3 linked regions of the Notamacropus eugenii genome follow. The protein of the gene in region 2 interacts with the protein of the main gene of each other region in a pairwise test. Links are inferred from orthologs where the notes say so. Each region holds a gene or a part of one and is shown on either strand. Other genes may lie near its edges.

What was found.
Region 1: the proteins of DVL3 (region 2) and KAT7 interact in a two-hybrid assay, tested with the Homo sapiens proteins (2 studies listed by BioGRID and IntAct). The two-hybrid records come from large-scale screens. The link is inferred for Notamacropus eugenii from reciprocal best matches to the Homo sapiens genes DVL3 and KAT7.
Region 3: the proteins of DVL3 (region 2) and SYT6 interact in binary tests that used the Homo sapiens proteins (3 or more experiments, as listed by UniProt). The two-hybrid records come from large-scale screens. The link is inferred for Notamacropus eugenii from reciprocal best matches to the Homo sapiens genes DVL3 and SYT6.

Annotation. Positions count from the first base shown.
Region 1 is NC_092873.1:350,925,558-350,929,303, reverse strand, and holds the start of KAT7 (histone acetyltransferase KAT7), read left to right. Parts: upstream 1-1,263; 5' UTR 1,264-1,461; coding exon 1,462-1,476; intron 1,477-3,635; coding exon 3,636-3,746. UniProt on the Homo sapiens protein: Catalytic subunit of histone acetyltransferase HBO1 complexes, which specifically mediate acetylation of histone H3 at 'Lys-14' (H3K14ac), thereby regulating various processes, such as gene transcription, protein ubiquitination, immune regulation, stem cell pluripotent and self-renewal maintenance and embryonic development.
Region 2 is NC_092873.1:57,206,043-57,209,788, forward strand, and holds the start of DVL3 (segment polarity protein dishevelled homolog DVL-3), read right to left. Parts: upstream 2,721-3,746; 5' UTR 2,578-2,720; coding exon 2,417-2,577; intron 1-2,416. UniProt on the Homo sapiens protein: Involved in the signal transduction pathway mediated by multiple Wnt genes.
Region 3 is NC_092873.1:293,290,316-293,294,061, forward strand, and holds the start of SYT6 (synaptotagmin-6), read right to left. Parts: upstream 2,936-3,746; 5' UTR 2,356-2,935; intron 2,189-2,355; exon of another isoform or gene 2,111-2,188; intron 1,922-2,110; 5' UTR 1,556-1,921; coding exon 1,393-1,555; intron 706-1,392; exon of another isoform or gene 524-705; intron 1-523.

The sequences.
Region 1 (3,746 bases), about 290 Mb from region 2:
GGAGGAAAAAAGAGGTTAATTTGCCCAGGTTCCTAGAGTTAGCGTCTGAACTCAGGCCTTTTCTGATTCCAGGTCCAGGGCTCTACACACAGTTAAACAAAATGGATTCCTCCGCTAACTAGGCCCAGAAATATATGTCTCATTCTGTATCTTGACTTCATCACCTTTCAGTCAGGAAGCAGTTAGCATACGGTCTTCTGGTCCTGTGGAATCCTGGTTGGTTCTTTGCACTGATCAGGGTTCTTAAGTCTTTCAAAGCTGACTTTACAATGCTGTTATATTGTCCGCTTACTTCATTCTGCGTCAGTTCGTATAAGTTGTATCAAGTTTCTTTGAAACTAACCCTTTGTTAATTTCATACGATACAGTAGTGATCTGTTACACTCCTGTATCATAAGGTTTTTTCCTTCCCTGATTTAATGGACACTTGCCTGAGTTTCCAGTTCTTTGGCACTCCAAAGGAAACCCCTACATTTTTGTGCACATAGGTTCTTTTCTTTTTCTTTTTGATGTCTTTGGGGGTATAGACTCAGTAGTGTTATTGCATGCACAGTTTAGTGATTTGGGGGGTATTGTTTCAATTTGCTTTGGAATGGCTGCATCAATTCACAACTCCACCAATAGTACATTAATGTACTTTATTCCCCTCCTCCCAAGCCCCTCCACCATAGCCGATTTTGCCGGTCTTTGTGAAATGATTCTTAGGCTTGCTTTAATTTGAATTTCTCTAAGTACTAATGATTTGGAGTATTGTTTCATGTGGATTTTGATAGCTTGGATTTCTTCCTTTGAGAATTTGCTTTTGATCATTTATCAATAGGAAATGATTCGTTCTTATAAATTTAGATTCCTTTGTAAACGATAGGTTTTCAATACAGCTTATTTTAGAAACGTCACATTTTTTATAGTCAAGTTATAAAAGGGTTAAATAAAGGGTGAATGGGGGTGGGGTGGGTGGAAATAAGAGGGCTTCCTTCCTGCCTCCATTAAATTAATAAACCCAGGGGGCAAACTCTGCCCACCGTAAGGATGAGAGGAACTTGAACTTCAACGGCAAATTGTTTAAAGGTTTTTTTTTTCCCCAAACAAAGATGGCTGACTATACAAACCAAGCAAACCTTCTCCTAACCAATCAAAGATGGCTACCATATCTGATACCATTTGATGGAATTTTTGCCCAAGTCCAAGATGGCGGGAGCCGCCCTCAACCGCCAAAGGGACGGTCGCGGGCCGCGGTTTGGGTCAACAGTGTCACATGACATATTCCTAGCCGGAAGTTGAGGGAAAGGCGCCGCTGGCTGAAGCGCCTGCGCATTAGGGTAAAGACGCTGGGAGGCAGGAGGGGACTTAGGCTCGTCCTCAAGAGTTGGGACCGTTAAAAAGGCCGCCACGGAGCCCGCCGGAGCTAACGCTGCTGCTGCTGCTGCCCGGGTCGGAACCGCCGGGCCGCAGCCGGCGGTGATGCCGCGAAGGAAGGTGAGAGAAAACTGGGTACTTGGCGGGCTCTTGAGGACAGCTTGGTGCGCTGCATGAACTCTGGTCCCGCCCCGTAGCGGCAGCATCCCCTCCTTCTGCACTGCACAGTCCAGCTGTGGAGCTACTTTCTCTGCCCGAGTCCGGCAGGAAAATGCGGGCAAGATACGGGCCTCGGCCTTGGCTTGCACTATTCCCGTTTTCTGGTTGGTTAGAACGGGGGCCTTTTCTGAATTTCAATTGGTCACTCGGATGCGGAGAGCCGCATTCATTGGCTGACCACGCCGCCCGTCTGGGCCCAACGGTCACCTCCCCGCGTGCGGGGGTGGCTGCCGGTCCGGCCCTAGTAGGCCCCGACTGGCTGGTGGCAGCGATTCCTCTTCCACTGATTGGTTGATTCCGGCAGTCTGTCTCGCGGGGCCACGCCCCTTGATTAGCTGCGTGGGGTTGCCTATTGGCTGGGAGGACTTCCTTTCCTCTCTTCCGCTTTGGCGATTGGTGGGGGGCGGGGCTTATTGAGCCTTCATCCTTTCCCAGGTGGAAGACATAACAAAGCGACTGGGTTCTAGGTTGGGGTGAGAATCTGCCCCCCAGGAGAGTGCCCCGCCCTCCCCAGGATGTGGATGCCAAGACTCTTGGCAGCAGCCTAGGCGGGAGTGCTTATTACAGTATTGGGGGTGGGGGAGCAAAACTCCCAAACTCCAGGTTACCTCTTTCTTGGAAAATTGACTAGTAGAGTTAAAGTTTTAGCTCAACGCGTTCATCGTCCTGGTCATCATCACCATCACCATCCTTATCATCATCATTGCTAGCATTTATCTAATTATTTAAGCCTTGTGAAGTACTTTACGACTATCTCATTGGATTCTTACTATAACCCTGGGAGATAGACGCTATTATTCCCATTTGACAGATGAGGAATCTGAGGCAGATAAAGGTAGAAAGACTTGTTCAGGGTCGTACAGCTAGGTTGCGACTGGATTTGAATTCAGTTTTTCCTGACTTCAGGCCCAGCACTCTTACCACTGCACTTTACCACCCAATTTTATTCTACACGTGAAAAGCTGAGTGCCAGAGAGACTAATTTGACTGAAGTCACACATTAGGTACTTCCTGACCCAAAACTGCCTCACTTAACCTCTGGATGTGTTGCCCTGAAAGCATTCTAGGCAGGTGATGGATTCTGCAATTTTTCTTTACGAAATTTTTTACAAGTATATTTGAGTTTAAAAATACTACCATCTTAGAGTTTGAAGGGAAATTTGAGGTGGTTGTCAGCCTTATAGATCATCAAATTTTTGAGTGTCCTTTGATTTGGTGGCAAGTTGGAAAAAGATCGATAGCTTCTTAGGTATTTAATTGTTGAGATCATTGATCCATGTGAGTGCGTGTCTGGTGTGGAGGCAAATATGGTGTTAGTTCTCTTAGTAAAATAGCAATCTATCTTGAAGAGCCTTTTGCTCATGAAGATATTTAGAAAATGCTAATTAAGGGAGGTGAAAAAGGTGCTTTGAGCACCTTTTAACCTTTATGTGGTGAAGCTTCAAGGGGAGAGAGTATGGGGAGGGCAAAGGAATTTCCCTATTTAATTTGGCTTGCGTTCTTTCCCTTGAAATGCTCTTCTACAGAGCATGGGCTCTCATATATTTGAGTTAATGTCTGTTTCCTTTCAAATGTGACAGATGTTTAGAGAGAGTGAGAGATTCCATCATGACACTGTAACATTGGGACTTAAACAAAAGCTGTTTTTAGAGGCACAAGGGAAAGAACCTGGCACTAATTCCTCTTCTCAAACCTGACCCTGTGAGTTCTTGGTCACATCAATCCAGCCTTTTGAAGTTGGTAGTTTTTATTTTCAGAATGTGAAACTGATGGTAAAGTTGCTCAGATCTTCCCAGGGATTTCTTAAAACAGAGTCAGTGATACTGCAATCACAATTTATTTACCTTAGGACTAAATAAAGGACCATGTATTGTTTAAATGAAATATACTAATTTCAGGGAAGTTGACTGTGGGCTGATAAGAGTATTGCTCATAACCTGAGCTTTGATTTTTATATACTTAAAGTAACTATAATATCACATACTGTTTTACTTCTGTTATTAATGCAAATTTAAAGAATAAATGCTCCCTTGCTAATGTCTGGATCTGTGATATTACAGAGGAATGCAGGCAGTAGTTCTGATGGAACCGAAGATTCCGATTTCTCTACAGACATTGAGCATACAGATAGTTCGGAAAGTGATGGGACATCCCGGCGATCTGCTCGAGTT
Region 2 (3,746 bases):
TGCCCTCACTCCCTTCTCCCCAGGGTCTTGACTGTGCTATTAACGAACCTCCCCACTCCCTGTCATCCTTCTAGCCCCTGCTTCATCACCATCACCTTTAATCTTCATTTCTTCTTCTGTCATCTTCCTAAGTCTGTTTGCTATCTTAGCTCCAAATTTTCCAATAAAGCACCACCAGCCCCTAGGTCCTTCCTGATCTCTAGCACGAGTTCAAGATCCCTTGGTCTCACTTTCAAGACACTCTTGGTACCTACTAGTATTCAAAGAATCCTTTGGAAGTAGGGGGAGGGAGTGGGCAAGAAAAGTCTTTTGGATCAGGATAGGGTCTCCCAGACCACCCTAGCCCTATATTCCCAGAAGCGCCCCCAGACTCAAGCCCCATAGAGTCCCTTAGCTGGCTTCCCTAGAGCACACGTCAATATATCTCTTCATCCACTTCCACTACTCCATCTTCCATCCACTCCTCATTTTCCTCTTTGGCTTCTTTCCTACAAATTGTGTCCATCAACAATGGGGACATGTCACCCTGGAAGTCCAGTTGGTGTTTCAAAGCCTTCCCCTTCCCCAAACTTCCCTCTTTCTGTTGAGGATTCTACCATTCCTCTACACCCCCAGTGTGGTTAGCTCACATTCAGCCTCCATCTTCCCTCTTCCTTTTAGGACATATCCAGTCAATTCCACCTCTAAATCTCCCACAACAGTCCCCCCCCTTTTTTTAAAATCCCGCTCAAAAGGCCCTCATCATCTTTGTCTCCCACTTTCCTAGTCATCCCATGCAGGTGCTAAAATCATGTTCCCCAAAACACAAATCCAATCAATGATGACAAACCTTCATGAGCCTTCCCTTCCCATGCAGGTGCTAAAATCATGTTCCCCAAAACACAAATCCAATCAATGATGACAAACCTTCATGAGCCTTCCCTTGCCATTAGAATAAAAGACAAACTCCTCATCTTGACTTTAATGCTACCCTCCTTCTTGTCTACTACATACCAACCAAGCTGGCCTACGAGCTCCATTTCCTACCTCTGGGCTTTTGTCCAAATTATCCCCATCTCTAAGATGCCCTCCTCCCTCTTCTCTTTTAAAACTCTTCTCTCCTTTCAGAGTAAGTTCTTCCAGTAAAGCCTTCCTGAATCCCTCCTCAAGAACCCTCCAACATATCCATGAACTAACTGATTCACTTGGCTCCTCCACTAATGCAAATCTCAATCCATTCATGCTTTCCCATGAATTCATCCTACTGGATCCCATCTAACCTGCTGAAGACCTTCCTCAATTTCTCAAGTGACCTCACATATTTAGGCATCTGTACCATTTACTGTCTGCCGTTCTATAGAGCAGAACAGAAGCCCCTTGAGGACAGGGGCAGGCTCCTTTTTTCTTTGTTTTCCTAGTATCAGGCAGACAGTAGGCACCTAATCAATGTTTGGTGAATTCAATGTCTATGTGGCCAAATTAGTCAAACTCCACTGAAGGTCCTGACCCTGCTGTCTTCTCCCAGGTGCCCTCTTTGCTGGCTCCTCTTGCTGCCTGGGTCAAGAGAACTGGAGGGGTAAGAAATGGAGACCTCCTGGGCCAGGGCAGGACCGTAATACTGGGAGCTGACATCTGCAGATCCGGCCAAGCACTTTACATGTATTATCATCTCCAGTGATTCTCTCTGTTCGAAGGGATGGGCCAGCCTGGAAGAAGAAGCTGGCTGGACGGTGAATGACCCCCTCCCCATAATTCGAGGTCTTCCCTTCCACAAAGCAGGACCCGGGTGGAGAAAGGAGAGAACCAGACTTGGGGACGGGGGGAGCGGAGGAGGCAGCCTATCAGGCCACCCCCACGGGGCCTCCTAGCCTAGCCCCCAGTCCCTTCTCCTGCCAGATTGAGTGGGAGCCCCTCCCCCATTCCCAGGGGAGCTGGGGGGGAGGGGGAGGAGGGAAAGGGGGGCCTCTCCAGGCCAGCTGCTACAAAACCTTCCGGCTGCAGCAACATTCGCTCCAACATTCCATCCCCTCTTAAAGGGAAAGTCTCTCTTCTAAATCCCCCCCCACCCCATGCTGGGCATTGGGGCTGGCTTAGAGCAAGAGTGTAGGCCCCGAAGGGGAAAGGGGGAGAGCCCCGGCCGGGCCTCCCGGAGAAAAGAGATCCTCCTCGCCGGTGGCTCCCGCCCCTTAGGGCTCCGAGCAGCCTGGAGAGGAGGAGCCCCCGAGACCCGCGGACCTGACCCTGGGACCCCAAAGAGCCGCCACTTTGGGGGTGCGGTGGCGGCGGCACCGCCCACCAGCCCGAAGTTTTGCTCCTGGCAGCCAGCTGGCACGGGTGCCCGGTGGGCACCGCCCCCCCCACCCCCCGGGCCAGGCCTGGGCGGAGGCCCCTCGGCGCTGTCCTGCCCCCGGGCTCCCCGCTCGGCGCCCACGCTCACCCGAAGTCGTCGTCCATAGACTTGAAGAAGAACTTGTAGGTGGGCCGCTGCAGGACGCCCTTGAAGTCGGCCAGGGTGACGCGCTCGGCGGGCAGGGGCAGCTTCACCAGGTACGGCGTCTCCTGGCCGTCCAGGTGGTAGATGATCTTGGTCTCCCCCATGGTCCCGGCGCCCTGGCCTCGGACCCGGCCGGAGCGCTGGGCTCCGATGCCTGCGCGGCGCTGCGCTCGGCGGCTCGCTCTCCGGGCCGCGGCGGCAGCGGCTCCCTTGTTCTGCGGCCGCCCCCGGGTCCCAGCGCCGCCCGGCCGCCTCCCCGCCTCCCCCCTCTCCAGCTTCCGCTCTCCCAATCTCCCTGGCTTTGGTGCCTCTTCCGGCAGCCCTCCTCCTCAGCAGCCCCGCCCCGGGATTCTCCGGTCACTGTCCCTCCGCTGCGCCCCGACCCCACGACTCGGCTTCCCAGCTCTTTAAAGGCGAGGGGAGTGGCCCTCCACGGCCCTGGCCGCTCTCCGAGTCTTTGTGAGCCCCACGGAGGCTTCGGGGTGGCCCCGGGTGTAGGGGAGAACCCGGGGATGGACTTAGAACCCGACGGACCGGGATGGGCCCTTCCGCCGCGAGTCCAGCCGCAATCACAGCTCCTCAGGGGCATGGCAACTGCCTCCGAATCCAAGGCCAGGGGTTCTGTTCCCACCTCCGATCTCAAGGTGGGGGGCCTTCCAGGGCAAGCTCGGAGCAGCCCGGTCATGGGCCAGGAGCGCTGCCGCCCAGCTCTTTACAAGGGGGGAACTGGCTAAGGGAGGTCTATCAGGAGGTGAAGACTTGGTTTCCTAGTCAACATAACTAAGCCTTGTCCTCCACTCGAGGTACAAATCCTCATCTTACAGATGAGAAAAGAGATGCTCAGAAAAAGTACCAGTGGCCATCTGACCAGCAGGCAGTCAGGTCTTCCATCCGGTGTTTGATAAGAATCAGGCCAGCAGGGGCATTCTGCCAGGAAAGAGGCCATAGCCAACTTCTCCATCTCCTCCACCAATGTTACAATTCCTTAAAGCCTTAACAGTTGGCCAGTGTGGGTCCAACCACTTGTCCCAGCTGCTTTCCTGAGGTATTCAGCACCATCTTGTGTCTCAAGAAATTATTGCCTTATGAACTCTGTGAAAGCGAACTTGATTCCAAGGTCCTCCTTGGACTTTTGCAAATTTTCCTGGCTTAGTCCTGTTCCTGCTGTCCCCTCCCCCGAACTCAGAGGCTTCCTCAGTGGGCAGCCCTCCCTCTCTGAACCTTTAACAATCATCAATCCCCTTCCTCTGCCATTTACTTGCTGCTAAATGGC
Region 3 (3,746 bases), about 240 Mb from region 2:
TTCCCCCATTGCTCTACAATGACCCCCATTCCTCCAGGGACTTAGGAGAGGGAAGTGGGGCTTAGGGAGCTGAGATAGACCCCCAGTCTTCCTTTCATCTCTGTAGAATTTCCCGACACCCCCTCCGAGCCAACCCCAGTTCCCCACTGAGAATCTCGGCTACTCGCAGGTGTGGAAGGGCCGACCTCGAATCTCCTCGCTCCCTTCGAGTACCCCCACCTTAAGTCTTATATCCCGCTGTGCTGCCACCCCACCAGATGTTGGAATCTGGACAAAGAATCAACATCTGCAGACCAAGGGCTGCGAGATGGGGGGGGGGGGGTACTGCAGGAAGCTCATCAGGTCCTCAGAAACCCAGGTAAACGCCCCCTCCTACTCTAGACCCAGTACTTCCCCCTCCAGGCTCTGGCACCACAAAGTCCCCCACGGTGACTAGCTTGCCCATAGCCCACTGTCGCGACTCCGCCGAGCCACTGCGGCCGCCGCCGGGCCCCAGCGTAGGGGCTCCGGGCTCGGGACTCACCCGGCTCGGGTTCCCGCTTTGGCTCCGCAGCCTCTCTGGGGCCGGCTCTGGGTGTCGGATCCTGGGGGCTACTGGAACTAAGGCGCCGGGTTCCGAAAGTCAGAGAGGAACCGGCTCAGTCCCCGCACCGGCCCCGAGTCCGAGTGAGTCACGGAGAGAGCGCGAGCGAGTTATAGAGGTGGTGGTGGTAGGGGGTGGGACGGGGACGCGGAGACACCCTTCCCCCTCCTTTTCCCCCGCCCCCCCCACCCCCCCGCGGGGACGGAGAAATAGACCGAGCCAGAAAAAGGCACTGGTACACCAAAACCCGCGATGGAGGCACAGAGTCAACGCAAGTTTCTAGCTACCGTCCGGGGTGGGGGTGGGGGCAGTTGCACCTCCCGGGAGACAGAGATGTAGAAACAGAGACAGAGACACAAAGCTCTCTGCAGCTGGGGAGGTCTGTCATCTCTTCTTCTGACCTTTCCCTGGGTATTTTGCCTTCTCTTTGTGGGAACAGAATCTCCCCATCCTTCAGAGAGAAGAAACTGAGGCACATTGGAGCGCTGTTCCCGAGTTGCAGAGGGTCCCCGAACTAAACCGAAGAGTCTAGCTCTACACTAGGAGCTTTCCGAGTCGCACTCTGAGGGGAAAAAAACAACACCCCCCCTCCCACCAGCCCCACTCCTCAGCACCCTTTTTTCTGACACTGGCAAGATCCGAATCCAGAGCATGGCACTAAGGGAATGGATGGAAAGAAATGTCTGCTCCTTCCTCTTCAATCTAATCTTTGCTCTTAGGGGAGGGAAGGTATGAGAAAAAGAATCTCCGCATTAGGAAGAGGGGTTGTGGCAGGGAAAGTAGGGGAGGGCGAAGGATCGCCCAGTTACCTGTATCTGCAGAACTCGGACTCCGCTCAGGGGGCTGCAGCTCGAAACTCCGACAAGTCTCCAAGTCCAGACCCTGGGGGGGCGGCTGCCCCTGACATAGCGAGGCCAGGATTCCCAGCGCCGCCTGGCACCTCGCCTCCTCGGACCCCCCCACCCTGCTCATGCCCCGGACCCTCCCCCCTTCCCTGTTCAGTGCACTGTGGCTTTAGTCCCGTCCCGCCCAGCTCCCTGCAGCCGTTCCAGGTCCCCAGCTGCTGTCGGGCTGGGGCGGGACAGGGCGGGTCCGCAAGAAGACCCTCCCCCAAACAGCCCCAGGCGAGTCACCGCACTTGCATTTGCCAGTCTAGGCTTTTAACCACTTGTCTACGGGGTCTCCGCCCCTTAGTGAGATACAGACACCACAGAGAAATTCAGTTCCCGCTCGTCAGCACCCTCTTTACGTTTCAGTGTCTGGTCTGGTCCTGGTCGGAGTACTGTGTCATTGGGGAGTGGGTTGGAAAGAGGGAGAGACTGATTGATGCCTTGGAGGCTAAAGAAGTAAAAAAAATAAAGGGTGATTAAGTCCAGGACTAGTAGGATCCTAAGGGCATATCTTAGGAACCCAAGGCTCCCAGGTCTCAAAAAGAACAGAATTGAGGGAGGGGTTCGGGCCGCTGGGCGAAGGAAGTTGGTTAAACTTGCAGTATTTTTTTTTAATAAGAGGGAAATCTATCCTCACCCCAGGACTGTGGAGCGAGGAGAGGGACTGGGGTTCAGGGGCTTTTAGAACCCCGCAATCCGCTGGTCGCGTCACCCACTCGTTGCCATGGCGACAGAAGGCATCGGCTGTCTCTCTCCATGGCAACGAGAGGGAAAAGTTTCAGGAGAAATGGGCCGGGGGGGGGGGGGGGGGCGGGAAGAGACGACACTTCACCGGGTCGTCCTTTTTCAAGTCCGTCCCCCTCCCTCAGGATCGAATCGCACCTCATTTCCCACGTATCTTCGGGAAGCTTCACCATAAAGATGGAAACAGACCGAAAATATTACGGTAGGGCTTGAGGTTAGACAAAACGAAGAACTTCCCCACACAGTGAAGTGAGAGATTAAGCACCAGTTGAACGAATCTAGGACGTTTCCATCCATCTAACCCCTTCCCCTCTTTCTGGAGATAAATCTCTCAGCTCTGGAGAGATCTACTCTGCGGCTGCCTGACGGTGTGGGTTAGGGGAGGAGCTACTTTGTTCAGAGACAGGGGCATGGATGAGACGGTGCGAATCTCTTCTTCAACAGAGTACGATCCATTTTCTCGGAGTGGAAGCGAGGTCCTGTGCCTGGCATTTTAGCCATGGTCTTCACTTCCTTTCTTAGCGGTTGAAAGTCATTCTTTGGCGGTAGCCTCCGGAAGCCACGGGTTGGCTTGTTCCCGGGCTGGTTGTGGGAGGAGGGTCTTTACTTCTAATTAACACACTAATTGGAAGTGGCTCGGGCTGTGACTCACGTTCCGGAGCTTTGAGATTCTCGGCGAGGGCTTTTGGCGGTAACAACAGCACGCGCCATCTGTGAACCCCTTCATCCCCCACCCCACCCCCCACCCCAGGCAGACCCTTTTGAAATGTAGCTCTCCTCTGACTTTCCCCCACCCCCCCCCCATCAGAGTCCCCCATTTCCCAGCTGGCTATGCAGTCCCATCCTAGGGGGAAATAGTTGGGTTGCAAGGACCAGAGAAAAAGGCTTCATCTAGCTTTTAAGGTTTCTTGGTCCTCATCCCATTGGGGCCCCACCTCTGTCCAAGGTGCTGATGATCTCTCTCTCTCTCTCTCTCTCTCTCTCTCTCTCTCTCTCTCTCTCTCTCTCTCTCTCTCGCTCTCTCGCTCTCTCGCTCTCTTTCTCTCTGTGTGTGTGTGTGTGTCTCAGAACAGCATGGAGTTGAGTTCATAATGTGATTTGACTAGCTAGGTACGTGATAATTGGGAAGGGACTACCTTTCTGCCTTGGTCCTTAGGTATGGGTGACAGTGGCTGCGTGGGGTGGGGGGGTGTTGGAGGGTGAGGAAGGATGCGGAGGGAATTGAGAAACTAAAGAAAGGAGATTATGCTGCAGGAAGATAGTCAACTCTAACATACCCTGAAATCAGGGAAGTCTTCTTTCCTGGAGGGGAGATCTGGTGGCATTTTACTGTTTAAAGTCAGACAAGGCCGTGTGTGTGTGTGTGTGTGTGTGTGTGTGTGTGTGTGTGTGTTCGATATCTGGGAGTGTGACCCATGTCTCTAAGGCCCAACTAAGGTGTTAAGAGAGCTTATTTGTATCTCCTCCACTTCCAAATGCTAGCAATCCAGAGACAAGGATTCAGATGCTCACCGAGGTCTATCTTCCCT